2 linked regions of the Lonchura striata genome follow. Each later gene encodes a partner of the first gene's protein in a complex. Links are inferred from orthologs where the notes say so. Each region holds a gene or a part of one and is shown on either strand. Other genes may lie near its edges. The genes, in order: UNC80 and UNC79.

Region 1 (15,065 bases):
GGCACAGGATTCCCCATCATTACATTCGGGTAGTAATGCAGTTACTGGACAGTAAATACTCAGTGGACCAAAGTGGGGTTTTGGCTAAGCTGCTACAGCAGTACCACCACAAAATAAAGTGGTTAAATCTCTCCAACTTTTACTGAATAAGAACTTCTGACAGCCCCACACATGACATTTCTGCTGTGCAAAAAGCTTTTTCACACAATAAAGTAACTAACACTGTTTGTAAGTCAGTTGTTTCATACAAAGGACAGTGATTTTAGAACCATCCCAAGTGCAATTGGAGGATTCTGATTTCTGCCTTGTATTTGTTACACTTCTGCTTAAAGAACTCACGTGGAAACAGTGTCAAGTGAGGTGCATTAAAATCTTCTTCCCATGTTTTCAGAAAAACAACAAACAGAAAGGAAAACTGACAGTATTTGTATCACATTGCTCTGATTATGCTATCAATTAATATGAATTAGCCTTGCAGTGGTTTTTCTTTCTATGCCTTTTGCCAGTGTAGGAGAAAAGCTATGGTACTACTGAACCTCTCTCTGAACCCAAGCAGCATCTCATGGGAACAGTGTTAACCTGAGACTCAAGTGTTTTTTTTATTCTGCTTTTAAAATTGGCATAATCTAGAAAATAAGGCTTAGTTAATCCACCTATGAGTCCAAAGCTAGAGTGTGTAACACACCAAGTCATTTATTTCATGCATTAAAATGAGCTTTCTTGTTTTGACTGAAGCAAAGACCTTCGTAATCGTTATCATCCTTCCATAGAAAGAATCCTAGAATGCTGTGGAGTTAGATGAAAAGAAATTAAGAGTTTTGTGCTTTTGAATAATAATTAAAAAAAAAAGTTATGTTACATGACTCTAGATGTTCACTGAAAAGCTCATATTAATCTTAACTTTCTCAAGAAGAGTGTTCGTTTTAAAAACAACAGTTTGTAAATATGTAATGCCCACTAAAGAAGATAGAGCCAGCTTCCTGGAAACTGCATCTGTTATGTTTCTTTTTCACAGGCATGTTGAGCCAGCAGGTTTGTTGGGTGCCTGAGACCCAATTGTGTAACAAAGCAGAGGTAATCCAGACAAAAGGAATGGTGAAACCTTGTTTGGGTACCTAGGGGAGCACCCCAAATTCAATAATCCATCAGGTTGTAGAGATGAGAGAGTGCTTCTGCCTCATCTGCAGAGTTTTCTTTCTATGTAACCACAAGCTGAAACAAATCAAAGTTGATCATACCTCTGTCCAGCAAGAGTAAAGGAAAAACTAAACCTGATGAGGAAAATTATGGGCCCACAAGGGCAATATATATTTTCACTGTACAGCAGTAAATGGAATTAATCATTCAGCCCTCTGCTATGGTACAGTAGTAACCTCATCATGACTGCTCACACGTCTAAGTTTGCCTAAATACATGACTCAAAGGGAGTCAAAAGGCAGCCTGTGTTGACTACCACATGAGCAGAAGTTTTTTCCATGCTGGACTAAATACTGTTTGAAACCCAAGTGTATGTCCCTTCAAAGGCAAATGCCATGAAGAGTAGATCACATTAGCTGTGAAAATCAGTGCTGGTAGATTTCTAGCCTAGGTGTCTGTGAGTTCACTCACTAGTCAGATTGCTAAAGCAACTCCCTCTGCAACTCCAGCAATTCCCACTGCAGGAAGGTAAATTAGTTTCACACTGGGAAAAGTCAAGTGTATAAAAGCCACTTCAACTTTAGCAAAGAGAAAAAGCCAACAAGTAAACAATGCTGTATGCTGGGATATCAAGGAGTACAGTCTGCTGTTACAAACCTGTGTTTTTTCTGATAATTCTAGAGCCTGTTACCATAAAAGAGGCATTTCTTGAATGGCTGGTGGTAGGTAGTTCATGTTTTTCAATCCGATTTGCAATTGTATTTGTTGCTGTATAGTGATTGTTTTGCAAAATAAACTCGCTTGTCATCTAATTGTATGTGTTAGCTTCCTATGTTTGTGATCCAGCTCCTCCTGAATCCAAACCCTGCACAACGTGCAGTACTGCCCTCAGTCTGCCCCAGAGCAGTCACAGCAGATCCAGTTGTATTGTTCAGCCAATCCCTTCCACTTTTATACAAAAGGATCAATTTTTATGGCTGGCATCCTCTTCTGCGGATCAGTATCTCCCTGCTGGGTGCAAATTTCTTCTCTGAGAAGGTGATTAGACATTGGAACTGGCTGCCAGGTGGAGTCACTGTCCCTGAAGGGGTTTAAGGACAGTCTGGAAGTAGCACTGAGTGCCATGGCCTGGTTGACAAGGCGGTGTTGGTTCATCGTGTTGGTTGGACTCGATGATCTCAGAGGTCTCGAGATGATCTTCCAACCAAACCAGCCCTGTGATTCTGTGGTCAGGACCTGTGCACCCGTGATCCAGGCCCCCGGATCAGGGACCTCTGGGGGTGCCGTGCAGCAACACCCTGCACAGAGCAGCGGAGCCTGGGCGCAGTGACCCCTCAGCGCCGTGAAGTGCGGCCGCACACCGGCCCTCAGGGCCCTTGTACGCCAGGGAAATGGTGAAATGGTGGCCCTGGGCCGCCCATGTGGCACAACCACACACCGGCCCGCAGGCTCCTTGAACACCAGGGAAATGGTGAAATGGTGGCCCTGGACTGCCCATGTGGCACAGCCTCCTCTGCCCGCCCTGCAGATCCCCTCAGCTGGCTGGACACAGCAGGAGCACGTGGACAGTGCCAGGGTGGTGAAGGTGACAGGAGATGGGTGTTGGGGGTGAGCTTTTGGGTCCATCTTGGTAACGAACAGGAACAGTGCAGACTTTGAGGGGTGTTTGGAGTGTGTCATCGTGGATCCATGGTGGATGCTCAGTCAGTCCCAGCCTGAACTCAGGCTGAGGGGAGTGTGGCTCTGTGCTCTGGGTGGAACAGAGAAATCATAGATGGGTTTGGAAGGGACCTGAAAGCTCATCTCATTCCACCCCCTGCCACGGGAAGGGACACCTTCCACTAGACTGGCTTCCACCAAGTCCTGTCCAACTTGGCCTTGAACATTTCCAGGGATGAGGCAGCCACAGCTTCTCTGGGCAGCATTCTGCTGAGAGTACTGCTGCTGCTCTGGGCAACAAGCGCTGCAAAAAAAGGTGCTTGGCTATGCAGAAGTCCCAGTTACTGGGATTAAAAAGCAGTGTGGCCCTGGTGGAGGGAATCCCAAACCTGGTTTTGTGTGAACACCCTTGTTCTGGACAGAGAAGCATACTGGTGAGGTGGTGCTCTGTGGAGTCGTGTTACTGCATGTTTTGTTATAATTTCTCAAGTGTAATGGTTTGTTCCTATGTACCCCTACATTCAGCTTGGTTTGTCCCTGTTTTCCCGCCTTACCCTGGGTGTCAATCATCCCCTAAAGTGCTGAGTCATTCCCTTGGCCCCTCCCAGGCACCCTGTCCATCACTCGGTGTCCCCGCCCATACATCCAGAACCTTCCATCCCCAGTGCCGGGTGATTGGACAGGGGCCTGGGCCCCGCCCGTATCCATCCCTCATTGGTTCCCATATGTGTCTGTCAATGCAATAGTCACTCCCCTTGTGCTCCTATTGGCTGGCCAAGTCCCCTCCTCTCAGTATATAAGATGTTGCAAGCAGCCTGCTGGGGCTCTTGTTAGCTGGCATCATTCGGGGGTTGTTGGGCCCTGCTGGGCTGCAATAAACTTTGGCTTCAGCCCCTAACAAGACTCTCTTCTTTGCCAAGCCGTGGGATTCAGCTGCGCCCATCAGACCCACAAAGCACTCTCCAAAGCCCTGCTGGGCTCAGCGGAGGGTGCTTCCATCTGCCCTTCTCGCCCCATTGGAGAGCTAGCCGGGGCAGAAAGGGACTGAGAACTGAGACCTGGGGTGGGAACGTGGCAGTGCTCAGCTCTCTCTGAGGAACAGAGAGGAAGGCATGTTTGGTAACTCCGTGCATCAAAAGATCCATGCTTTCTTCTCTAGGAAGAAGGTTAAAAAGTTCAGGTAGGGCACATTTTGAGGGGAGGAGGTCTGTTGCCTTTTTTTCTCCAAACAAAGCTAAAGTCTTTCAGGTACTACAGAGCGTGGAGAATCCTGAGCCAAGGGATGATAATTTGACAGTGAAAGCTGAGGTGTTATTTTTTTCCCCCTGGTTTTGTCCAGATAATCCCCCCATGTAATCTCCAGGATTTTGTTCCCTCCCATCCTGCCCTGTCTGTTATGCATGTAATGCATGTAGCTGCAGTTAAATGTCTATTTGAATATGTTTTGTTGCTTGAACTTCATGCAAAGGCAGTAACTTACTGTGTGAGGTGTGGAGGGCCTGTGTTTCTGCTCTGCTTTGAAACAGAATTCTTAGATGGATGAGTGCTGTGCTACTCGACTGGTTTTACCTAAATGTGACTGAGGGATTAAATACCTAACTCTTCTTGTGGAATCTGGTCCAGCTGAACTGCAGTCCACTCCTGCCCAAATTCATGCAGCAACACCTGTAATTTTAGGAGATCCTTGCAGTTACAGGGATTATTTATCCTTGTTTCTGAGCACAGTTGTGTTGTGTTTAAGCAGGGCTAGCTAGAAGACCTGTGAAGGAGACTACTGAAGAACCTTAGTTGAGAAGTTTTCATGCTGTTTAAAAGCCCTTAAAGAAGAAACAGGGCTTTCCCAGGCTTCTCTAAATTTTTACATTCTTTCTACCTGACAGACCCATATGGGAAAGGGTAGAACAAGTGGTATCCATCAGTGCTAATCTTCTGTGACTGGTTGTCCCCAGGGAGAAAAGGTTTTCCTTCATGATGGGTCTGTTCAGCCAGGACAGAAGCCTGCTGGCAGACAGTGGAAGAGTAAGATCTCGAGGGTGTGGCAAATGGTTTTTTTTTCCCTGCTCTGGAATCTGCATTTAGGAGCTGTTTGCAGCTTTGCTCTTGGAAAGGCTGCTGCACAACAGAATGGCTTGACATACTCTTGAGAGCCTGGATTCTGCATGGAGAGTTCAGAGAATTAAGATGTGAATTCCTAGGAGTGTGTATGGCAGGGATTGATTGAGAGTGGGAACTTGGAGAGCATAACCATGGAAACAAGTGCAAGGCAGTGAGGTTTGAGCAGTTCCCTGCTCTGAGCACTCCTGTATAAGGTGGGGGCTTCTGCTCTGTGTCCCCACTCTGTGCCATGCTGCCAGCCTTGGCTGTTTCTGGATCAAGACTAGACCCTGCTGTGCTGGATTGTAACCATAACTGGTGAATAAAGGAGTGATCAAGCAGAATCTGGAGGCATGTCAGGCTCCTGCCTGCAGTGAGAGAGGAAGTGGGTGCTTGGTGTCAAGGGCATCTTCAGTGGCTGAGCAGTTGGCATGGGCTAGGAGCTGTTGGAGTAACACAGAGCTTTCTCCACTTTTCCCTCACCTGCTTTGACTTGTTGCAGGAGTTTTGATCTTTTTGCAGGCAGATGGACCTATGTTTCTGTGCCAGTCCAAGATGCCAGTGTAGCCTAGAGAACAGAGCACAGGTGAATTTTCAGGAGACTTTGCTGTAATGGCCTTTCTGAAGAATCTACTTTTTTCTCTCTACCCTCACTGTGAGGGAAGGCAGGGGACCGATTTGCAGGACTTTCCCTTTGTAGCATCCACTGTAGTGTTAGTATTTAGGTGTGGTCAAATGCTGATTGCAAACCTGAAAGCCTCTGCTGCCAGCAGAAATTCAGTATAGAGATAAATAAAATCTTCCAGATGGTAAAATTTCTTCTCTTAAACATGCAAGTCATTTTACTCACAGAGATACAGATTACTTCAGCTTTGTGTGCCCTTCGTGGTGGTGGGCATTGTCTCCAAAATAAGGTGAGAACAAAACTTGTCTCTGGCTACTGTCAAACTTAATGTGAGCTACCTTTGCCACCTCCAGATGGCCTGTCTGGATTTAAGGTCTGCATCTTCATGCTTGCAGTTCCTGTGACTTGATGTTTCTTTTGTTGTTGTTTCCTTTGCTCTCTGATTTGTTTTGCATCAGAAGTTCTGTAGCTTCAAACTTCTGTACAAAGGGATTTATGTATCTTTTGTGACTGGGTGTAGTTGGAGAGCAATGTGCTGCACTCAAATGGTAGACCATTTGGTTGACCAGAACTGCAGTTTGCAGTTCCATTTTCAGTTACTACAAAGTAATCATAAACAAAATTCCAAGTAGTGATTTAGTTTCCTCTCAGTGCTGGACTATGTGACCTCTGCTTGCTAATGGTTTGTGACAGGGCAAGGCACTGGCTATGCACAAATAAAGAGTAAGAAAAATAATCCTGAACTTCAAAGCTATTTGTTTCCTCTAAAAAGTTTTCATATAAACAACAGAATGTCACTTTTTTTTTTTTTTTTTTTTTTTTTCTCTCCTGTGAGAACTGCTTGGGATGAACTTGTACTGGTCTTCCATTTTATTCTATTATTTGTTGTAGTATCCTCTGATATCCTTAGGTAGAGAAGGAGAGCTCATCTAACAGTGCCTGAAAAATATTTGTAGTAATACTAATTCAAACCTACACTTGAATTAGCCAAATCAGCCTGGTGTCTAATTGGAAACACCAGTAAATCTGCTTTGGTACTTCCCACCTCTGTTTCAGCTTTTCTGTGTAAGAAAAATCTGTGGAATAACAACCCCAAAGTTCCTCTGCTCCCAACACCTGTTGGATTAGGCCCTTTTCTGACCCGGAGATGGGGCAACTGAGAGGCATTTTAAAACTTTTCTTCTATTATTAGTCTCATGTGAAGGGTGAGACAATACAGATGTTATAATTCACGCCATCACAATTAGAAGACAATTATTTCCTATTTACAATACAATATAAACACTTCCTGGCCTATCAGCTTTAGCTACGCCATGCTGTAAATGCCTTAAATCATCTTATCATCAAAAATTACCTCTTGTGGGTTCTAATACAATGCATTTTTGATCTATTTCTCCAAAGCATCTAATCTTATTTGCAAGGCCATCCTTTGAAACTTATTTCTACTTCTAATTCTCTCTCAACAGTGTCCGTCCTATTCCGTGGCATTTCTAAGTCAGCACTTCTTCTCTCCAAGTTTGCATGGAGATGCACACTGCGTGAGCCTTCGAGAACTCCCTACAAATCCATTTCCCAACATCACCAATCTGCACTTTCAGGGGGGGTTCGTGACTTGCCTCCCTTCTCTGCCCATTTGGGAAGCAAGAAGGGAGGGAGCGGGAGGGTAAAGAAAGGGGGTAGAGAGGGAGGGAATCGTGGCGGGGAGCCGCTGTCCCTGCCCGGCGGGGCTGTGGGGAGCCGCTGTGCCGGCCGGGCCGTGGGGAGCCGCTGTGCCGGCCCCTGTGGGGAGCCGCTGTGCCGGCCCCTGTGGGGAGCCGCTGTGCCGGCCCCTGTGGGGAGCCGCTGTGCCGGCCCCTGTGGGGAGCCGCTGTGCCGGCGGGGCTGTGGGGAGCCGCTGTGCCGGCCGGGCCGTGGGGAGCCGCTGTGCCGGCCCCTGTGGGGAGCCGCTGTGCCGGCCCCTGTGGGGAGCCGCTGTGCCGGCCGGGCTGTGGGGAGCCGCTGTGCCGGCCGGGCTCTGTGGAGCCTGTGTCCCGGCCCCTGTGGGGAGCCGCTGTGCCGGCCCCTGTGGGGAGCCGCTGTGCCGGCCGGGCTGTGGGGAGCCTGTGTCCCGGCCCCTGTGGGGAGCCGCTGTGCCGGCCCCTGTGGGGAGCCGCTGTGCCGGCCGGGCCGTGGGGAGCCGCTGTGCCGGCCCCTGTGGGGAGCCGCTGTGCCGGCGGGGCTGTGGGGAGCCGCTGTGCCGGCCCCTGTGGGGAGCCGCTGTGCCGGCCCCTGTGGGGAGCCGCTGTGCCGGCCGGGCTGTGGGGAGCCTGTGTCCCGGCCCCTGTGGGGAGCCGCTGTGCCGGCCCCTGTGGGGAGCCTGTGTCCCGGCCCCTGTGGGGAGCCGCTGTCCCTGCCCGGGGGCCGTGGGCCGCCCCGGGAGTGCCGGAGCCCGGCGGCCCGGCCCCGCGGCGGCGGAGCGCAGCCCTGTTGCTGGCGGCGCGGTGCGGGAAGTTTGGCGGGCGGCGCCTCCGCCGCCTCCCTCCCCCGGCACCGCCCGCTCCGGGCGCGGGGAGCTGGCCACAGAGGGAGGTGCTGAAGGCACGGAGGAAGCTGGAGGACGCGGACATCTTCGCTCCCCCGAATTCCCTCCCTGCCTCCTGCAGCCATCTTGCACCAGCGGGGCCGAGGGAGGGGTGGGCTGCGGGGAGCGGAGGGGAGAGGGTGAAGAGTTGCGGAGAGCCAGAGGCGGCCATGGGAGATCCCGGCCGGGGCGTCTGCTGAGACTGCAGCGGCTGTCATCAGCATCATGGTGAAAAGGAAAAGCTCCGAGGGCCAGGAGCAGGAGAGCGGCCGTGGCATCCCTCTGCCCATCCAGACCTTCCTATGGAGGCAGACCAGGTAAGAGCAGGCACTTGGGATGCACCTGCAACAGGGCAGTGGAAGTGCGGAGGGGCTGCGGGACAGCTGCTGCCCGGAGGCACGGAGGATGCAGTTATTACTGCAGCTGCAATGTGAAGCAGTGAAAAAAAAAAAAAAAAAAAAAAAAAAATCAAAACAACAATCGATTAGGGGTTTTGTGTTTTTTTTTTTTTTTTTTTTTTTTTTTTTTACTCAGTATAGAGCAATTTGTGTGCATCTGGTGTGGGAGGAGGGAGGTCTCAAGGCAGCTTAACCTAGTGGAAGTCCCAGGCAGCTTCTTGATTTGACTTTAAACCATCCATGTCCGTTTCTCTATGCACCTTTCCCTTCCTCCCTGTCCCGTGCTCCCCTTCCCCTCCATCCCCCATCTTTTAAGAGAACTCATGGTGCTCTTGTAGCAGAAGCAGCATCCATCAGTGCTGCGCCAGACCTGCAGCTTTGCTTCTGTCTGTATTTGCAGCTGTCCTGGCGGTGTAATCCGTGCTTTGAGAGGCTGGCATGCAAGCAGATATGTCCAAGTGTCACCTTATTTCACTGGACTGGAGAGTGAGGGACTCGCTGAATGTATGGCTGGTGCTCTATGTTCCTTCCTAATCCTGTCAGGCTCCTGTCCTAGCAGGATTCCAAATTGAAAACATTGTGGGGGCAGTGGGGAAGGTTGGAAGATTTGAAGGTTGTGGCTCTAATTTAAGGCCTCAGTCGCAAAATCCCCTTTTGCCACAGCCAGTGTCCTTCAAAATAAAAATAAAAAAACCAAGCCTGCAATAAGGTGACCTGATTTTTTTTTTTAATATTTACTCTGATCTCATTCTGGAGGAGAGTGATAGAGGGTGAGTGTTCTCGACATGCAGCATACAGGCCTGCACTTCACCATGAGCCTTCCACATCAGCAGCTGTGCAGAAAAAAAATATTTAATACAGAGATGGCAAGTTGATCTCTGGCTTAAAAAAGAGGCAAGGCAAAGTTCAGTAATATGTAACAAATTTTAAAGAGGATATGTTGAAAATCTTTCACTGAGGTAAAATGGCTGAAAATTGTCTGATGGAAGATTTTATCCCTGGGAATGTGTGGGCTGAATTAAATACCTCTTGACATATCAGGGTGGGTACTTTTTCTTCTGGAAAAGATAACAGCATTTATCAGATGTCATCAACAGGTATCTAACATAGTTTTGGCTTATGTCTTCCTTTGCAATGAGTTTCTCAGCCTTTTGATAGCCTTCTGACATGAGAGGAATCCTAAAAATAACTAAGAAAAATACATGTTGATGTACTGGGTCTCTAATGCTGCTTCTCCTTTCTTTCAGTGCATTTTTAAGACCTAAACTGGGGAAGCAATATGAAGCTTCCTGTGTGGTACGTACGTGTGTTTCTTTTTCAATGCTTGCTAGTAACTAACTTGTCATGCAGATCAATCTGACCATAGTGGCTGATCAGCTCCACAAGTGGATTTAGTCCATTCAGCTTCATTTTGTACTCCTATCACATGAAGGATTTGAAATTTTATTTGGATATTAGTAATAATTAATTCATTAGTAATGCTGTAGTAATGAAATAAATAATGACATGGGCAAACTGAGCTATGACAGTGTGGGTCTAACCTTGCAGTTCACTCTGTGTGGATGTGCTTTTGCATGAGATTGATGTCATTTCAGTTTGCAATTCCTGATGGTTTTTCAAGCTTATAATATGGAAAATCTAAACAATATTAACAGACTTTCAACAATACTTTTACCATTGCACAACATGGGAAACATTTCTACTGAAAATTAGAGGGAGCGTATCTTATCAGAATTATTAAGAAAAGGCTGTTATGCAGATACAAATAACTCTGATTTCTAAATGTACTTCAAATAAAGCCTCGAGTTACTGCCAAAAAGGGGGGAAACAAGAAGACATGAAGTAAGTTCAAATAAGACAGGTATCTAGAGAATTCCTTGAATGGTTGCTGGTCTTTGGATTACTTAAAGTACAATAGTCAGTTGCAGCCAAACTTGACAGAGTGGAAAAATTTGGTCTGGACATGTATCTTAATAGTTTAAAGTTCTTAGGTCGCTCTGCAGCAATTTTCTGACTTCCTTCTCACAAGGCATTATGCTGGAGAAGCTGTATCTGTTGCTGAGTCATTTTCTTCTAAGAAATCCATAAATTTTTCAGAGTTTTTGCTAGATACCAGATAGAGATGGGATTGCTGGCTTAGTGTGTTGGTGAGTAAAATGTTCAGTTCTAGCATATGCAGCAGTGATGACTGGTTAATGCCTACTGACAGTATCTGGTTGTTGAGGGGCTGGAAAATGGAACTTGTTTGTCCTTTACCAGGAGCTGTGCCTTGGGGCACCTCTAACCTGGGGGCTGTGGCTTCATCTGTGGGTAGAGGGGCAGAGCTTCCTTCTCTGTGATGTACCTCTCTGCCTGTAACTCCTTTTGCCTCCTGCTGGGCTGTTGGCATCAGGTCCCTGAGGCTAATTGCAAAGCACCTTTCTTCTGGGAGCACATACTGGAATTTACTAAGTGTGAAAAACAAACTACACCCTAAAAACCCTCTAAATTGTGAGACAACCCAAATCACACGCTTCAGCCAGGAGAAAGGGAGCTCTGAAAACAGGCATTTCATAAACATCCAATAAATTTCCACCTCTTGGATGAAGAACCTGATTATTCTCAAGTTCTTAACATAATCATTAAATTATGGTAGAAACTGCTCAAAGGTGGAACTTAGCTTTGAGGAATTTTTGGGTAACAGGCTGAACTGACACATTGGCTGCCTTATGCTTCATCTGTTTCCTCTGCCTACTGGTGTGCCCATTCTGTATTATCCAGTGAGGCAGCAGAGTGCTGCATGCATGGGTGAGGCGGATTCTGGAACTTGACAGGTACTTGACTTGTCTTCTGAAACCTCCTGCTGACTATCTAACACCCCTGTATTGACTAGTCTGCCTAAAAATATTGTGCACCCGTTGCATGATCTATCCTTTTGTAATTCTCTAGCCAGAATTGTTGTAGGCATGTCTATGGGCTGTTAACTGTCTGGCAGTGCATATGACACAACACTGTGCAGTATTCTATTGTTTTTCTTGCCTCTAAACTTGCTGCAGTGGAGTTTGCTGCCTGTTGTGCATTGAGGAAGCAGATGTTGGAGTCTGAGATTCAGTGAGTGCAGCATCTGGTCTGCAAGAGCATGTTGCATTGTTTATTTGGGGTCTGCTATATACCAAAATACTTGAGGAAAAAAACTTGGCCCTTTCATTGCATTGTTCTCTTTACCTGAACCATGAATAGTTATCTCACAACATCTAAATGTTTGTGCCTCAGTATGGGTTTAATGTTCTTCCTACTCCCCCATTCTGAAGTTGTTCTGCCCTGACATGAGGCCATCCCTGATGTGCCAGAGTCAAAGCTGTGAATGACCTCACAGGAAAGCATGTGAGTGCTGTACAAAGCCAATGCATTTTTGGGTGATGGTAAGGAACTCAAAGGTATGCTTAAATTCTTCTGCTCTGGTTTTCATTGGCCATGGAAGAACTCAAATGTTTTCTGGAGGATCCTGAAAATTTAGTTTCCCTCTCTTCTAGGTTTTTGTTTTTTTTGTGGGTTTTTTCCCCTTGTTTTTGAAAATGTAATTACATGTTTTGTTATTGTGGATAATTAAAGTATAGCTATGGAACAAAGTTCAGAAAGAGGCCACCTTTATTTTATCCAGACAATGGGCATGGTTGCAGAAATGTGAATTTCTGTGAGTAAAGTGTGTGGCATCTGTGTTTCATTACTTCTGAATGTTTATTCACAATGTTTATACTACTGCTATATTTAGTAAACAATGGAGTCTTACCATCCCTTGTGTTATGAACTCCTAGATTCCCAGATCTTTCCAGGAACTCTTCATTGCTAAGTGGACCTGCCCCAGACTGACAGCACTTTCTGCCTGCACTTCAGGCTCTTTCCAGTCAGTCTGAAGTGACTTCAGCAGTAGTCTCAGCTTTCCTCCATGATGCAGGCTGAGCTTTGGAAGGACAGGGCATTAAGGTCCCCACCAAGGACACAAGCTGAGTTCAAGAAGCACTAACCATTTCTCTGTGGTACTGCCATGGTCCTTCTGTGCCTGCACTGGGTAATCCTGTAGAGATACTCCTGGCACTCCTGGGAGGATGTAACAGGAGGTGCTGAGCTTCCCAAGGTAACCTCTGGGCACCCTCTGTCACCCCCTGGCTGACCTCTTCCTGCCTTATGCAATTCACTGCAGGTACAGCTTCCCTGGGCTTAGAGCAAGGGAAGTTCAAGTGAAGCTGTTCAGGAAGCCATGACAAAGCCCAGGCAGAATGCTGCTGGAATGGGAACAGATAGCCTGAAGATGCCTAGACAAGAGGGACAGGACAAAGCAAACAGTGACCCACAGGCTGATCCTGGTCACAAGGTATTTGGCAGTGCCTTTGGCTCTTGGTGGAGATGAAGGTAAAAGGAGAACAGCAGCAGTGGGAAGGCAGCCAGACAAGGCTGGCCACCATTCCCTGTGAAAACAGCTGTCACCACCAGGCTAAAAGGAAAAATGCTTGTGTAAGTGGTCCTCAGGGAGCTGAACACACACACAACCCTGCTGAAAGGGACTGTTTCTCCAGCCAAGGCACTAACTTCCCTCTCTATCCCCTTGGTAGATGTTCTTCATCTGCCTTTGGTGTGTGTGTGGGGTGTTGCAGGCTTGAACAAGCCTGCTGTAAGTAGGTTTTTTCTTAGCCAAGCTGGAGCCCTGAGCCCTGAGGCTGTGGCTCTGGATGTACCCAGAGCATGACAGTATCTGTCTTCTGACTCACTCACAGGAAGCTTTTTCAGACATTCTCATTCAGCCTTCTTATTTGAGCATGGAACTCTGAGCTGTAGCAGCAGTTCTTAATTCATGCAAGGTAAAAATTAGGTCTTCTGCCCCTGTAGCAGGTCCTGAAAGAGAAGAGCCATAGCACACTGAAAAGGAGGCTCAGGAGCAACACAGAACCTTGCATCTTGAGTGTCTGGTATAGACGAAAGCTGCACCTTTATGGAGAACTCCAGGCAGATTCCACAGGAAGGCTTGTCCAAAGAACTGCGTGTTCCTGTTGGACATCCAGTGGTTTCCATACAGCAGCTTTTGTGTTTGCATTTTTTCTGGCAACATATGGTACTTCTGTTTCAGATGCTTGTGATCACATCAGCTATTCCAGAAGCTAATCTTTCATTGCAGTACAGAAATACTTAGCTTTCTGCTCAGGCCTGGAAAGAACAGAAGAATCTGGTGGCTAACCACATAGGGAAATCTTCACAAGGTCTCAGCAGCCCAAAATGTCTTAATAAACACAAGCCTAATCTAAACATAAAATTGCAAACTTCTTAGCTGCCTGTTGAGTTTCTGAAGCATGCTGACAGTGGGACAGAGCTTGCAGAAGGCAATTGCTGGGGAACTTTCTACCTGATGCCATTGAAATACCCAGGAATGAGACCTTGACTAGAAAGCCAGGGAGCAACAAGGTGTCTTCCGTTGCACTTCAGAATAGGGTTGGTGTTTTTATTTCTCCCCTTGCCCTGCAAACTGAATAGCTTTGTCAACTCTACTAAAGTGTGAGCTTATGGTTTGGCTTCTGTGCTGGAGGTGAGATAATTCAATTCCGTAAGCCTTGGTCAGCACTGGTGCTTGGCAGTCCTCTCAGTGAGCTAATCCAGCTCACTAACATGGGTAGGAACTGCTTACCTCTGTTCTGACCTTCCTTTTGGCTTGTGCAGGGGCTTGGCTTGGCTGAATGAAGGATTCATTGAGCCCCAGAGCCAATGGAAGGGTGGAAATAGGAGTGTTTGGCTGGACTGATGGCTAAGGAGTGGTCCCTGTCCTCTTTTGATAAAAATAAATAAAACCTCATGTTTTTCACTGGCTATTTCAATCTTCGTGGTATTTGTAACTATGCACCTCCTGTTCTGCTGCTTCACTCCCTTATTTTGTTATGTAATAATCCATTTACTGGGATATTTACTCTAAACCTCTGTTGTCTTTATACTAATGCACTCTCTGTCCTCTGTGAATCCTGACTGGAACAGAATAATCAGTCCTTACAATGGGTGCTTTGCTCCCTGTTTGGGCTTCCAAAGCATTGGTATCCCTTCATTTTGCCCCATTCCTGAACTGATAGGATAGAATGGCAGGAGACTTTTCCTTTCAGATGCTGTGGCCCCTAGCAGGTCACTGTATGGGAGACTTGAAGCCTCCCTTCTCTAGTAGGCAGGTTATCCATTCCTGGTGCTAAGAAACACATATTGCTGATAACATGGTCCATGGCACATTATTTTTGACTAATCCTCAAGAAGCCAGTATTTTTTCCATGTATTACATCAAATGCCCTCCAATTTCAGCCATTTTTGGTCCACAAGGCATCTGCATTATATTTTCTGACTGCATTCTGGTGTTTCTAGTAGGTGAGCAGTGTGGCCTTGTGCACACTGATCTTTGTTGGCAGCTCTGATGGTTATTGTCAGTATTTCAAGGTTCAGTCTGTTGGCGCAGTCTTAGTTCTCTCTAATGGATAGATCTGAGTTTCTGTGCCTCTGAGCGGGACTGGATGCTGTAAAACTACAATGGTGTGGCACTGAGCTTGCACCAGGACACCCAGCCTCTTGGTAGAGGAGCTCATGTCTGCCC
Region 2 (15,164 bases), on another chromosome or scaffold:
TATTTTGCAGAATCTTTTGTAAAAATCAGCTTTGAACATTTCAGTGTATCTGCTTGTCCTGTATCTGATTTCATCATCCTTCTCTCACCTAGTAATGTTTAAATAAATCAGTAAGATATTACATTTCAGTTGTTGTACTTGTCCTCTTAAATTATGGCAATGAGTAATAAGATTGCCTGGTTATAATACGTACTTGGGGGATGTGAGTAAAGCACTGACAATTGTGTTGGATTAAATGAGGTAACAGATATATAGGGATGTTTCTATTGAAGCAGTGATAATTTTTAGAAACTACTTACCTGAAGAGCTACTTAAAATTTAAGTGTTTCTTGCAAATATTTTTTTTTCAGATTTTCAGTCCACTCCAAGCATTTATTCCTAAAAGTACTAATTATTACATTCTACAGGCATTTAAAAATACTTCAGTCTTCATATGGCTTTCTTTACTAATTGTATATGGATCTTTAACCCTGGGACTGGAAACTCTGGGGAATGTGGTGCATAGAAAACCAAGATGAAAAGGAGGGAAGCCAGGTTATTGCAGGCACTTTTATTGCTGTTAGGGTGGTATGAATGAGCTTATACTCTTCATTAAGTGCAAGGGTGTTTATTTATTAGTCTAAACCAGCCACAGTTCAGCTAGAACTGGGCTGATATGTGCAGCCAGTAGTGCCCAGGGCTCTGGCTCCAACAACTGTTTTTAACTCAGGCTTTCTACAGCTGCCCAAGGTGTTTGGTGAAAATGGTTGGTCGGTTTGTTATTACACAGCACCCTACCTGCAGCCTGATGGGTACCACTCAGTGCTCCCTGAGTGCTGCTGAGTTCTGTGTGTGGACATCAGTGGAGTCCTTTGCAAAGAAAGGCAAGAGACTCCCTCCTGTAATTCCACAGATGGGGAGCACCAAACATGAAATGCTTGCCCAAGGTAAGGCAGCAGGGTAGCAGGAAGGTGGAAACAGAGCTGAAGGATGGTTCCCTGCCGTGCTTCTCATGGCATCTCTACATCAATGGTTTGCATTTCTTGCAGATGGGGCCAAAGCTGGTTTTAAGCTCAATATAAGTAGTAGCACAGATAACACATACCTAAGGGTAAGTGGCTGAAGCCTGTTCTTCCATTGGAACACAAGTAGCAGCTATTCCAGGTAAGGCAGAAGATCTTGTGTTGAACTAAACTTCATAACATTTACATGCTTTGTGATTATGTTAATGTGCTGCAGTGTACTCATAATAAAATACTCATGAGTAAGTGAAGTGTCTTTCAGTCACTCTGCTGTCTCTTCTTAAGAATAGATGCTCTGGATGAGTTTATACTTAAATTAAGAGGCCAAGTAGTGTTCAGCTTCTTGTTCATAAACACTCTGGGTCTGCAAAAAATAGTTGGGGAATATTAGGCAATTGTCAAGAGACCTGAATTTGCAATAGATAGGGCAATTTGTAAGGATCTGCAGATGAGAAAAATACATTCCCATGTGAAGTGCAGCAGCTTTCCTACAGGCTGCTTTAGGAGTGTCCCATTTCTGTCAATTTAGTTCACTTTTTGTTTCCACCAAGGTTCCTGTCTCCGATAGACCACCCTTTATTTCGTCTTAGGCTACTGCTAGATTCCCATGTGGAGCAAACCACTTTGGAGGAGAGACTAGACAGATTGCTAGCTCCTAGGGAGACAGCCTTCAAATGCAGGAGCAAAGTCAGTCAGCTTTAGTTGTCACTGAGACAGGGTCTTGACCCTGGCATGGGTCACAAACTTGGTACAGGTGTGGTAAAACACCAAGGACCTGAGCAGTGTTGAATTTTGCATGCTTTCTCCTCACTTCCTTGTGGAAAGTCTCATGCCTTCTTTTGCCCTCTGTAACTGTTTTTGCCCAGCAGAGACCTCTTACAAATGTTTTTACTTGAGTGTAGAAATATTAAAGCAAATTAAGTATCTGGTCTTCTTGATTTCTCTGTTCATTTCTTTGCCTTTGGGCCATGATGCTGTGATAGGTTTAAGAAAGCAGTATTTTGACACTTGTCATTCTGATCCTAAAGCATTACTGCCACTATGATGTGCTTTCATTTTAGCTGTGTAGGTAGGTGGTATAGTCAATTCTGCACAAGTCTAATATTAAAGGTAAGGAAAATCCCAACTGTTTGCAGGTGTGATATAATTCAGCTAGGGTGGTGCTAATTTTCACAAACTTGGCATGTTAGTTGGCACAAAGACTGTGCCTCTTAGAGCAGCATATCCAGTCTCTGATTTTATAATAGTCTTAGTGCATCCTTATCAAATTTGTGCTAATTCTTTATGCAGGTCACCATGTATTTCTTAAACTCCACTGCTATGGCAACAAATTAAGTATTTTGTTCACTTAGAGGCTAATGACATTACTCTAGAAGAGAAATTGAGGGCATTTATCAGAGATTTTTACAGTGACAGATGCTGACAAATGTAACAATAAAGCAAACATCCACAGATTTAGTTGACATAATTATCAGAATAAGAGGAAAATTCCAGTTTTGTTAGTACAGTCAAATAACCAGTGTATTTCTTAACAACTTTTTGTTTTCCTGAAGTCTTAATTCTTCTAAACTGGGGAAAGAAAGAACAAATATCAGCATCACAATCTGGCTAATCTGTTGGAAACACAGTATTAGCAATGAGACACAGAGCCCTTTGCTGCTCCATCTCTCACTTTAAAGCAGCCCAAGTCAGTGATGACTGAAATGAATTTGTCACATGCCAGATGGCATAACAGATATGGGTCGGTGGCTTTGGCCAAGCTTCTGGTCACATTATGATCACTTCTGCCATTACTGCCAACTGGTTCTCTATTCTATTCTATTCTAATTCTCTACCCTATCCAAATGCCTATCCTACTCTACACCTTCCTTCTCAGAATAGTTACTTTCCAGCCCTCCCACAAGAGGAAGGTTGGGTTGGTATTTTTTCTGTACATAGTGCTGCGTGATAGTACCACTAAAGGACGTTTTCCTTGCACTTTTAAGTCTCAGCACAGAGGCTAAAATTGGGTATCTTCACCTCAGAAGAAATTTTTTTCCTGCACAAGACTATACAAGCTGTCAGTAATATTGTGTTACTTTTGTGCAGACATGATTTTCTGTGAGCAAGAAGAGGTGCTTTCCCTGCTCACTCTCTTGGCTCGTGCTGGTTGACCCAGGTGTCAGAGCCCTGAGGAACTGCTCCAGGATACATGCTGTAGCCTAGCTCAGTTAAGCCTAACTGCTCAGTTTAATCCCAGATAGACTTTTTCCTCAAGCGATTATATATTTTACAGTCATTCATGAGGATTAATTCTTACATAGAGCAAAGATTTAGAGACAAATTTAATTTAATATGATATAACTATTGCTGTGAAAAACACTCATCTGAGCCTGAGGGACTCCATCTGCTGTTTGAATCTGACAGGGAGGAGGTTGGTCCCTATGCAGGAGCTGTTCAGGGGCTCCAGTTCCATACCAAGACCCTCTCATTGGCATTAGTTCAGCCTTGTAAGTATTCAGAAAGCACCACGTAGATTGAAAAATCCTGTGAGCCAGAGAAACCTGCCTCCTCCTGCTTCAGTTCATTCTGTGTTTGGCTTTTCTTATTGCAATTACCCTTGCCCTCCTCCATGCCACAACCTTCAATTCAGATAGGCTTGTAGAGATTAAAGGAAAAATTTGAGGCATTTCAAACTTGTCCCCACTCCTACTGCAGTTTTTAATATTCCTATCACAATGCAGGTATTGATAATCTCCTGCCAAAAGAGGTGAGGAAGTTGAAATAATTGAGGTATTGGCTTAAAAGAAATTAAATTGAAAGCTAGCTGGTTTTGTTCTGTGTTTTGATAAAACTTAAAAAGCACTTAGGTGCTTTGCCTCTCATTCTTGCCTGTCATTCAGGCATTGAAATACTCATTGTTTCAAACAATGTTTATATTGCATTGGAGTCTTTGAATATGTCAGGCAAGAACTAGTTTTTATTTGAAATGCAAATAGAGACCCATGTAATTACATGACTCAGGAAGCTGAGCCTTTACGGAAAACACCATGAGAATGTTTTAAGTGTTTGTAAGTGAACATGTCTGGATACAGATGTGCAGCTATATATCTGTGTAAACTGATGAAATTATTTATTTTTATACATGCATCAATTCACTTCAATTTATGAACAGTTTAATAAATTTTCTGTATGTGATTCAAGGTAGGAAGGCTTAGGATTTGTATTTTTCAGAAAGGATTACCTTTCTAAAAGTAGATTTGTTAATGCTTGGAGATTAAAAAAAAAAAGGAACATCTTTTTGGAGCTGAATACTTGAAAATGTAAGTCAAAGTGACAATAGTCACATAAATAGTGACTTCTGCTCTTGATTACTTCTTTTCTCCTTACAGGAGAAAATGTCATTTATTTATTCCTGAATTATATTGTAACTACAGTACACACTCTTAGGCAGGCAAAATTTAGTTAAAAGCCAGCACAATTCACAGAAACAATATGTTCCAAATCCCTTCCACACCTTATCTACCTTATCCTGCAAAAGCCACATTTCAAAACAACCAGACTTATACAAGTCCATGGGACATGATAGGATGCACTCACAAGTGCTGAGGGAGTTGGCCGATGACAGTGTAAGGCTGATTTTTATCATCTTTTACAAAGGCCAAAGCTACTGGGAGAGTCCTGAGAAATAGAAGAAAGCAAGAGTCACTCCTATTTTCAAGAAGGACAAGCAGGAGTATCTGGGAAATTATAGGTCATTTATCTTCACCTTGATCCATGGGAAGATGATGGAGAAAATAATCCTGTAAATCACTTCCAAAGACATTAAGGACAGAAGGGTTATTTGGAATAGTCAGTGTGCATTTGCAAACGGAAAACCATGCCTGACCGACTTGATAACCTTCTGCAACAAAATTACTAACTTGGTGTAGAAGGAGAAAGCAGTGAAAATTTATCTTTAGCAAGACTTTTATCAACGCTTCCCATTACATCAGCAAAGAGAAAGTAATGAAATATGGACTAGGCAAGTTGACAATGATGTGAATTGGAAAGTGGCCAAACAAACTGCCAGGCCCAGAGGGTTGTGCTCAGGGGCAAAAAGTCCAGCTGGAAACCAGTGCTGCACTGCAGGGGTCAGCCCTGGGCAAGTGCTGTTTCATGTCTCTGCCCATGACCTGGATGATGGGACACCCTCTGCAGATGATGCAGAACTGGGAGAAGCTGTTGATACACCAGCAGTTGAAGGTTGTGCTGCATTCAAACGTGTCCTGAGAGCTTGGAGATGTGGGCCAGCATGAGTCTCATGAAGTTCAACACGTTAAAATCCAAATCATGCACATCAGAGGGAATAACTAAGCACCAGTACAGGCTGGGGCTGAGCAGCTGAAAAGCAGCTCTGCAGAGTGACGTGGCTGTCCTGGTACACACCAGGTTGACTGTGAGCCAGCAATGAGCCTGCGTGGCAAGAAGGCCAACAGGATCTTGGGCTGCAGTAGGAAAAGCATGGCCAGCAGGTCAAGGGAGGTGTTTATAGTGCTCTGCTTGGCACTGGTTAGACCTGACTGGAGTTCTGTCTGGTTCTGGACTCACCATGAATATACTGGAGTAAGTTGAGGGAAGGGCTAAGTGATGAAGAGACTGGAGCATCTGTCATATAAAAGGGTGCTGAGAGAACTGGGACTGTTTAGCACAAAAGTCAAAAGGTTTGGTGTGGGGAGTGGGTCTTGTCAGCGTGTACAAATACCTTAGGAGAGGGAATAAGAAGATGGAACCACACTTTTCTCAGTGGAGCTCAGTGACAGGATGACAGGCAATTGGCACAAACTGAAATACAAGAAGAAAAAGCTTTCTAATGTGAGGATAGTCTAACCTTTGAACAAGTTGCTTAGAGAAGTTATGGTGTCTTTATGCTTGCAGATGTTTGAAATTTGGCAGGACATGGCCCTGAGCAATTTGCTCTAGCTGACCTTGCTTTGAGCAGGGAAGTTAGAGTAGAAAAGCTCCAGAGAGTCTTTCCAACCTCAAAGATTCCATGACTCTGTAGAATTTCTGCTCATGAACTCAGAAAGTAGCATGCTTTCATTTTCATCAGTTGGTGTGTAAATTTTCCACTTCCCATTCATTTGATGTTAAAAATATATTATTTTATTAATGATTTGTGGGCTTAAGATGCCTGCAGCTTTTATGCGTTCTCTTAATACGTGTGTGTAGAGAGGAAAAAAATCATATGGACATAAACCTTAGCTGCTTAAAATGGTTCCTAGTGGAACACTGTACCAATTCTGTTAGGCATATTCATGAGGATCTTGCTGAGAAACTATGACATTGGTTCAGCCCAGACACTTGAGAAATTAATTCCCAGGGTGCCACATTTCTATATTTGCTGCTTAATGACATTTGTTCACAATATAAAGCATGAGTCTCTATACTTGAATTAACAAACTAGGCAAGTCTTAAATTGTTTGACTGAACAACAGACTACTTGTATAGGATTTATTTAGGGCTTAGACATTGTTTAGACAATGCAGAAGAACTCATAAGCAATAAATTGTTTACCAGGTAGCTGAACTACATGCTGTACTATGTAGGACCTTGTTCAGTAAATGCAGGCATAGCTGCAATTTTCAGACACTTAAACCAAAGAAGAAATTTTACATGAGAAATGGAATTAATATTTTCTCAGTGTACTCCTGCTTTATCAACTTGAGTGTTTTTAATAAGCTCACTACTCTGGTATTTGAACACTTGGTATGATTTAAAGATACTTATGGAAGCTCAGTTCCCCTCAGTGCAGAGAGTTCCCTATTGTTCTGTAATAAGCAATAAAGCAGTTCAGATTGATTTGTTGCATCAACAGACAGAAATTCAAAGATGAAACCTGTCTTCAATATCTTATTTCAATGAAGTCTGAAAGCCATTTGTCTGTATATTTGTCCCTTATGCTCCATGTTGTGAGACATAGGGTTAGGGGAAACTGGTTTGTAGCACCACGTGACCTCTCTGGGCACTTAAATAAATAAAACTTCTAATAAAGGAAAAAAACTTAAATATTTACTGTCAAATGAATGTAAAAGAGCAAACAGTGGTATAAGTTGGCTTCTCTCTGTCTTTGGGGCTAACAAGCAGCAGGGAGTGTGGAAAGATATATGGCCTCCAGTAAGAGCTCTACTTTGTACCTAATTAAGGGGTGTTGAAGAAACATTGCCCATGCACTATTTTTAGAAAATTTCTTTCAGGAAAAATATGAACCAGTTAATGTCAGTGAACAGAATCTGCCCCTTCATTGTGGTTTATGGCAGTGAATGTACATTGTCCCCAAATCGGGCAGCAGTAATTTGGAGGCACTGCCTTGTATGATGAATAACAAAAGATAGCTATTTTCTTCCACCTCCACAGCGCAGTTCTTTGGCTGCCACAGTCCTATTTACCTTACACAGCCCAGCATTTTGAGGACAGTATGTTGCAATGGACTTTTTTGTGTGTAAACATCATGACTCCCATGCCCGGCTGGTGAAATACTGCCGCTTCCACATAGCTTTTTCAGAGGTGTGAGGATCTAAAAAACTGGTATGGAAAGTTTCAGAAAAGAAACACATAGTTTACTGTTAATTTCTGACACCTGGTACGGTCAAGTCAGGACGATGGGGAAGCTGATAGGACGCACAGCAGTGAAATAATTTCTCTTGAAGCAAATGACTTTTATAGTTAATACTGTACTCCCACCACAATTGGACAAAAATCTTTTCAACCCACCGTGGTCCTGGGGCAGTCACCATGGCTGGGATCTGGGGAAGGAGAGGGACACAGTCGGGGCTGAGCGCAGCCCTCGTTTCCTCGGGAAAGGCACGGCGGTCCCGAGGCGCTCGGTGCACGGCCGAAAGAGGTGGGGAAAGCCGGCCCGGAGGCACTGCCTGCCCGCCCGCCCGGGGTACAGCTGCAGCCCAGGGGTCGAGGCGAGAAGGACGCAAGGGAGCCAAGAGCTGTTCCACGCCAGGGATCACACGGATCCCCAGCACAGCTGCTGGCAGTGCCGCCAGCGCTGTCCTCGCTCAGTGTAGCTCCCCCGCCCGCCCCTCCGCAGCCCCGGCCACCCTGGCGGCCCCCGGGGACACCGCCGGCGTTTATCAAGGTCCTCCGGCTCGGCAGCTCCCAACTCGACGTTGCGACAACCTCGGCGGGGCCACAGCGCCGGTGGGGCAGGTGCCCCAGGGCCGCCCCGGCACATCGCATCCCAAGTGCCGCGCTCCCCGTCCCGTCTCGCACGCCGTCCCTCCCGGGGCGGTGTTTGCCGCGGCCGCCAGGCGCGCTGCCCCTTTAAGCGCGCTCCCGCCCGGTCCCGCCCGCCCGCCGCTCCCCGGCCCGCAGCCCTGCGGCACCGGCGGCGGCACCGGCACGGGCGCGGGCACCGGCAGCTCCATCGCGGCCGGGGGCCGGCGCTCCGCGGCGCCCAGGGGCAGAGCGGGGCGGCAGCATGTCCACCAAGGCGGAGCAGTGTGAGTGGGGCCGGGCGGGCTCCGGGCCGGGGTCTGTCCGAGGGGAGGGAGCGCGGCCGGGGGCGCCGTCCCGCCGGTGGCGCTGCCCCGCCGCCGCCCGCCCGCCGCCCCGGCGGGCAGCGCTGCCCGCGCTCCTGCCGCGGTCTGCGGCGGCCGCCGGCAGGCGGTGCAGGGGGAGGGGGCTGCCGGCGTTCTGGCTCTTTCTGCCGGAGCCGCCGCCGCTGCTGGTGGCCGCAGCCCCCGGAGCTCCTCGCTGCTCGGGCGGCCAGCTCGGGGCGGCGGCAAAGGCAGCGCCGGGGAGCGGACGGGGGAAATGAGGGATCGGGCTGAGAGTTCGTACTGAGGCCGCCAGCTTCGCCCCCCGCCCCACGGCGGGAGCGGTCCAGCCTGCCCCGTCTGCCGGCGCCGCGCCGTGTCCCGAAGGATGCAGCCACCTGCGAGAGCAGAGGTGACGCACGCGTCGCCACCTTGCAGGTGGTCTTGCAGTGAGATGGAGCGAGAAGAGCCGTGCTGTCCTTCTTGCCCGCGCCGCTCACCTTTCGGGTGAACGTAGGCTGGGTGTTCGTGTCTTGCCTACAGGCCCCCTGCCACAGTGCCCGGTCCCAGCGGGATTCCCCCAGGTGCTGGCATCCCCCTGCCCGCGGCCAGCGAGCCTCTGCTTGGTCGCGGGTGTTGTAACCACCATGTTGGCTAGAGCTGATCAGAGCATCAGGAGATGACATGGTGGTTGGGGTACCTGCATCTGGGCTGTGGAAATGCTCCTCACTGTCGTTTCTCATGACACCTGGTTTGTCGGCAAGAGCCCAGATGGGATGCTGAAAATAAAATACTGGGGTAGTCGAGCTCGTCACCCATGTCAAAGCTACTTTCTTGCCTGATACAGTGTCATGGTTATGAACATGCAGTCTGGGACCAGGAGGTTGGATTGATGTTTGTCATGATGATGTGATGTGATTTGACACTTTGCATGCTGAGACTTGCTCTCTTCTTCCTCCAGGTCACTGAGAAGGATCCTTGTGTTTATATGTGCTTATGGTGAACAGATCTAACAAAAAGAATACCTGTATTTTTCTTTTCTGTTAGGGTTTACTGCTTATTTACGATGATGGATCATCTTGCTTTAAAAATATTCTGCAAATGTTAATTTATTGCTGTAAAGATGGAGTTCTAGTATCTTAATTAGAGACACAATATTCTGATGTGCAGAAGCCCTGAATTGTGCAATGTTTGGACCTGTACCATTCTGTTGTTGCTTCCATCCCCACCTTGCACCTGAGTTCTATAATTGTTTCTTCTCTTGTGTGATACTTGCACATTAATTGCACTTCCTTCACACTGCCATGCAGAAGAATTTGTGCTACTTTTTGTCCTAGCACTGGCTATGACATTTTCTTTTCAATTCTGTCTTCTCTGTTCCTCTATTCCTAATGCTTTTGGTCTGCTCTGTTTGAGCTTCTCTTATGTATTTTATCCTTGGCTGTTTTTTCTTTTCATCCCTTTGTACTTTTCAAGACACTGCATCAAAGCCTACCGTGTCCCTATGGCTCTCTATTTTAAGATTTACTTCGGGTCCAGATTTCAGATCTTTCTGCCTTCCAGTGTCCCTTTTTGTGATACTCTAGGCAGAGTATTTGGTTAATGGACATATCCTGTACATTCTAACCTGCTGAATGTATTTTTTTTACCAAGGCTGCTTCCCTGACTAGTTCTTATGGCATTACCAAATGTCTTTGTCTCTACATAATTTCAAGATTCCCTCACCCGCAATTTTTGAGTAATGGACTCTGACAAGGATGTGTTGGTGTGCATGCATCACTACCAGTCAAACTTTCAAACCCCAGCTGTCGCTGTTGTTGCTTCTGCCCTCACTGAGTGACAGGCAAGAACCAGAATGTCTTGGGAAGAACTCAAGTTACAAGTCATAATGAATTCTCAGTTTACCAAGAGCATCAGTGAAACACTGCGACTGAGGAATCACTGATTGGAACAGAAGATAAGCTGGTCTAATCATGAATCCCACAGCTCTTGGGCAGGTTCTGTGAACAACAGGTAAAATGGTGTCATTCTGGAGGTTAACTGGAGAAGCTGCTCTTTTTTGTGACCACATGCATCTTGTATTGCATACCAGATATATCAACAGTGACTTTGATCACTTGACTCTGCAGCATGCCTGAGATGTTCTGTAGTATTCAAAGAAAATTAATTATTTTTCACCCTAAAAAGCAGTAATTGGAGTTTAGTTGTGGTAAGTAATGTCCTGGGAATGCCTGATGCCTGCTCTGTTACCCCCCAGGACAGTGGAGCAACCAAGGCCATCTTTGAGGACACTTAATGGCTTCACTCTAGGTTCATTCAATGGTTACACAGGGGCTGAGGAGTTTAGTGAAGTCTGTGTTGATGCTAGAGAGATACCTGTTTGGTTTTGTGATGACCCTATGAGGGTGGCCAAGTGCTTCCACAGGGTGACATCACTTTTTGAAGTGTGTCTCTGGGTACTCAGAAACTCAGAAAATTAGGCCATTTGCACACTTGCTGTAACTTGAATCCTGGCAAAGTTTTTGCTCTGGGGCTTTCCTTCAGAATTTTCTTTGTGCTGTGGGAAGCTGTGCTGAAATGGACATTGTTTTGGGAAACAGAGCTGGGAAGTGAGGCTGAAACCTTTAGCTTAAAGCTAATGTTTATATTTAGACTTTATAAATAAGTTTTCTCTTTTGATATTTGACCTGATACAATTGCACAACAATGCCAATTAATAAAAATGAATGGATTTTCATGTTCATTAAAAAAAAGCTGTTCTAAGTGATTTGAGATACCCTATGCCCTTTATTGAAAATTAGTAACTGTAGGGAGGCACACAGCTCTCTGAAATACATCTAGATCTGAATTGTGTAATAATCTTTGGCATTTTGTAGTCCATTTAATTTACAGATATCTGACAGCAAACCATGATAGCCACAGTAATCTGTGCACTTGCTGTGAATTGTTCTTAATTGGGTACTGCCTTGCATAGTCTGTGTCCTTTACAGATATACTTGGTTTCATACTTTTTTTTTCCCTGACCAGAGAAAGTAACATCACTAAATACGTTTATGAAATCATTACTTTCTTAATCTAGAAACCAAACTAGATTAGTTTTATGGTAGTTAAAAGAAATGTCTACCTTTTAAATAATCTGATGAGACAGCCTGCAAATCTGGGACTAAAACTGAGATTAGTGGGCAGAAAGAATGAGGTGTGAGATGAGAAGGGGAAAACAGTCTTGGGCTGCTCAACTCAGCCTCTGTAATGTGGAGTGAAACACATCCTGCCCAGATGTTCCTGGCCCAGTGGTTTGGGGGCCATACACGAAGCCAGCTATGGCTGCTGTCACACAGGATAAGCTCCTGCAGAGCACTGCTCATGTGCCACAGGCCTACGTGGTGGTAATTCTGATTTCAGTTGTTTGAGGGAGAGGGGAAAAAGTCATGATTGTTTTTAGTTATTCATTAATTGTGAAGTAAAAGGCTTAAAGATGAGGAAATGTAATTAAAGATGCTTATGCATTTTTAGTGTGTTGCTTTTGCATATGCATTATGACAGTGTCCATGGTTGCATTTTTGCTTGCTGGTTTCACACAGACCCCAGTCCTTCCGTCACATGATGGGCTTTCTCAAGGAGAAAGCCTTGTGATGAAGCCAGGTAATATCATGAGGGAGACTTTTGTCTGCAGAAGCTTCACTTGCTGCAGGAGCTGGGGAATGCCCTCCTTACAACAGGAAATGAGTTAAAGAATGACCTTAGTTGGGTGCTGTAAGTCTGGATTTCTTGTCATGCGTTCAAGAAAACAGTTTTCTTCATTTGATGATTATTTGAGTGTTCATCATTTTATGGATAATTGACTTGAGATTGTCAAACCTTATTTGTTGTGTGGCTGACCACTCAAGGAGTCTTTTGTTTTCTGGATGTGAAAGTCCAGTGTGTACTGTTACCTATAGTGGCAAAATGGCTCTCAGTATCTCAAGCTGAGCCTCCAACAATATTTGCAGACACTTTGCTTTTGGTGTCTGTCCATCAGTCTTTTTCTGCAATACGGGTACAATGTCACCCCTTCTCATTCAACTTGCCAGTGGCACAGAAAAAAATAGAAAATTCATGAACTGTTCAGCTATCTCAGCAGTGAGAGCCATAGCAATGTCTCCCAGGTAGTTAGTACCTTTCTGTTCAGTGGAAGACTTAATGGTATTTATTGTTTAATAAATGCTATTTGACCATGAGAATAAAACCAATAATTGACTAATTGCTTGTTTAGGTAGCATGATTTATCTTCCACACTGAGGGAGCCCGGTAGGGCAGCAAGGTATATCTTCGTCTAGTGAAAGACTGTTATAATCCATATGCTTAAGGGCTGAAAGAATTCAGAAGCATCTCCCCTTTTAACTGCCTGTTACTTTTAACATGATGAAGAGTTCCCAGGCAGCTGTGCTTTCATGAGGCTGTGTCTGCAGTGCAGCACAGCTGAGCAGCCCTCTGCCCCAGCCACTGCACTCTGTCTCAGCAGAGCTGGTTAATCTGAGTGGAGCAAGAAGAGCTGTGTGTCTGTAGATGTCTCTACAAGAGACTGCCTTGTGCTGTACAGGCAATGTAAGGCTGTGCAGTTATGGGGGTAATCACTTTTTCCCAATACTGAACAAGGATTCCTATTAGAAAATAAACCCAGTGTTTACTTGTAATACAACAAAAATTGGTTTCAGTGGAGATGCACACCTCCTGCTGCTATTTGAAATCCCCTTATCTGCTTGATTGCACTTCCTAAGACAAATAAACAGCAGCCACTTTGCTCTTCTCATACCTTTAGTTCATTGCATAAAGTAAATGTATGGCCCACAGTAAATCACATAAGGTCTCTCTGTCTTAGCTTATATCTCTGCTTTGGCTGTAGAAATGCTTATCTGTCTCACATGAACCTCCTGTGATCCAATGACTCATTCATTATAAATGACTCTTGAGATGCTTGGAGACATGGACAAAGTGCTGACTGGCAGTATATATTTTTTAATTTGCTAGCACTATGTTTGCCTAATACAGATGCAGAAATTAACTTCCATGTGATCTCCCTGGCACTCTTTTACAATTTATTCAGTCAGAACAGAATGAGCAGAGAGATTTTTTTCTGTTTTTTGAGTTTAATATTTAAATTAAAAAAAAAAAAAAGAAAATGAAAGTCATGACTCTGTCAAAATCTGCAAAAAGCCTAAATGAAGGTTTTTGTGTTTTTCTTTTTGTCTTTTATGTAGTTGCTTCCAAAATCCGTTACCTTCAAGAATACCACAACCGGGTTCTCCACAACATATACCCTGTGCCCTCTGGAACTGACATTGCAAATACTCTGAAATACTTTTCTCAGACCTTATTGAGGTAAGTTTTGACTAATGCTCTTGAAGAAAAAAGAGCTAAATAATTGTAGGGGATATTGATTGGCTTTGAACTGGTTGCCAGATTTAAAGGGTCAATGGTCAGCCAAAAAGAGTCAGAGCATAATTTAAGAAAAACATGGTATGAACGAATGTCTTCAGTGGCTGTTGCCCAATTTGCCCAGTTAAGCCCCTTTACTGAGTGGCTGATTCTAGAATAAACTTGGTTGATTATGCATTTGCTTGGTCCTACGGCTTAGCTGAACGCACAAACATGCTGAACTTGTGAAGAAAGGAGTTTGTGACCTATAGAGTTTTAGATGTGTATAATCATGGCCTCCTTGAGAGTCCTGGTGCCTCAGAATCCCAGAGTGGAGCCAGACGAGCAAGCAGAACTGGTTTCTTACTGTGCTTGGGTCAGCTCTTCTGGGTTCTGGTTCAGTCCCTTAGAGCAGACAAAGTTTGTATACAGATCTGGATTTAGATGGTAACAACACATCAGGATTATTCTGATCCAACGTTTTTTACTTAGTCTAATGTTTAGTAATAATATATAGTGCTACATACCATGTGACTAGAGAATACATTACGAATAGGAAATACTGTGTTGTCTTCCAAAAAAATAGGAAAAAAAGTGAGACTTTATTAGGAATAATGTACACTCCGCAGTGCTGCCTAGTGGATTCATATTTCCTGTTTGTTTTTAAAATGGCTTTTGACCATGCAGAGGGGATTTTATCTGCTGGTTTTGCCTGGCACTAGTTTTCACATCCAGAAGAATGCAGTTCAAATTGCATTTCTATGCATAGCTTCCAGATTTATACCTGGAAAGATTGTCCCTGCTGTCAAAGGGTAGTTTGGAAATACAGCTATTTGCCTTATTTGAGGAGGAAACATTAACAAAATACAATTGACCCATATGTTTGTACATATACTCCTATGATATAGACAAGTTGAGAAGCAAGAATTTAAACTTGAGAGAATGAGAACAGTTCATTCTAACATTCAAAGAGCCTGGGATGCATCAAAATTTTCTTGACCCTATTTAAAAGGAGAGACAGATAGACAGAAATACTTTTTAGTGGAACATCTGTTCACAGCAAACTTGAAACCTCCTGTTTACTTTTGAAAATTTCAAGAGCAGAACTGTTTGTTTCCCTCCTCATTTAGACTGTTGAAGAAACTTAGAGCAGCCAGTAGGACTTTTTGTTTGAAGGTTAATAAATTAAATTTTGTCTCATTGAATTGAGCAGTGGGAAAAATGTTCAAAGAGTCACAAAAGATACTTCTGAACCATGTCT

Evidence for each region.
Region 2: the proteins of UNC80 (region 1) and UNC79 are in contact, whole or in part, in a cryo-EM structure (PDB 7W7G), measured with the Mus musculus proteins. The link is inferred for Lonchura striata from reciprocal best matches to the Homo sapiens genes UNC80 and UNC79. Residues at the interface, in NP_780719.2 of Mus musculus: Gln23, Thr24, Trp27, Ser31, Leu34, Arg35, Pro36, Ala80, Pro83, His84, His87, Ser94, Asn95, Asn180, Ala183, Leu187, Phe190, Leu191, Arg337, Leu340, Gln341, Pro342, His343, Arg1317, Asp1320, Glu1321, Asp1324, His1545, Val1546, Asp1547; in XP_030102533.1 of Mus musculus: Thr120, Tyr123, Ser127, Ala130, Thr131, Leu168, Ser169, Ser172, Met175, Ile176, Gln179, Tyr180, Tyr207, Tyr211, Gly212, Pro213, Ser214, Val390, Cys391, Glu394, Glu402, Phe405, Arg472, Cys541, Asp917, Phe920, Ser965, Glu966, Phe967, Ser968.

The regions. Positions count from the first base shown.
Region 1 is NC_134610.1:33,680,635-33,695,699, forward strand, and holds the start of UNC80 (protein unc-80 homolog), read left to right. Parts: upstream 1-8,048; 5' UTR 8,049-8,300; coding exon 8,301-8,392; intron 8,393-9,720; coding exon 9,721-9,769; intron 9,770-15,065. UniProt on the Homo sapiens protein: Auxiliary subunit of the NALCN sodium channel complex, a voltage-gated ion channel responsible for the resting Na(+) permeability that controls neuronal excitability.
Region 2 is NC_134608.1:15,628,479-15,643,642, reverse strand, and holds the start of UNC79 (protein unc-79 homolog), read left to right. Parts: upstream 1-8,351; 5' UTR 8,352-8,451; coding exon 8,452-8,473; intron 8,474-8,872; exon of another isoform or gene 8,873-10,522; intron 10,523-13,746; coding exon 13,747-13,867; intron 13,868-15,164. UniProt on the Homo sapiens protein: Auxiliary subunit of the NALCN sodium channel complex, a voltage-gated ion channel responsible for the resting Na(+) permeability that controls neuronal excitability.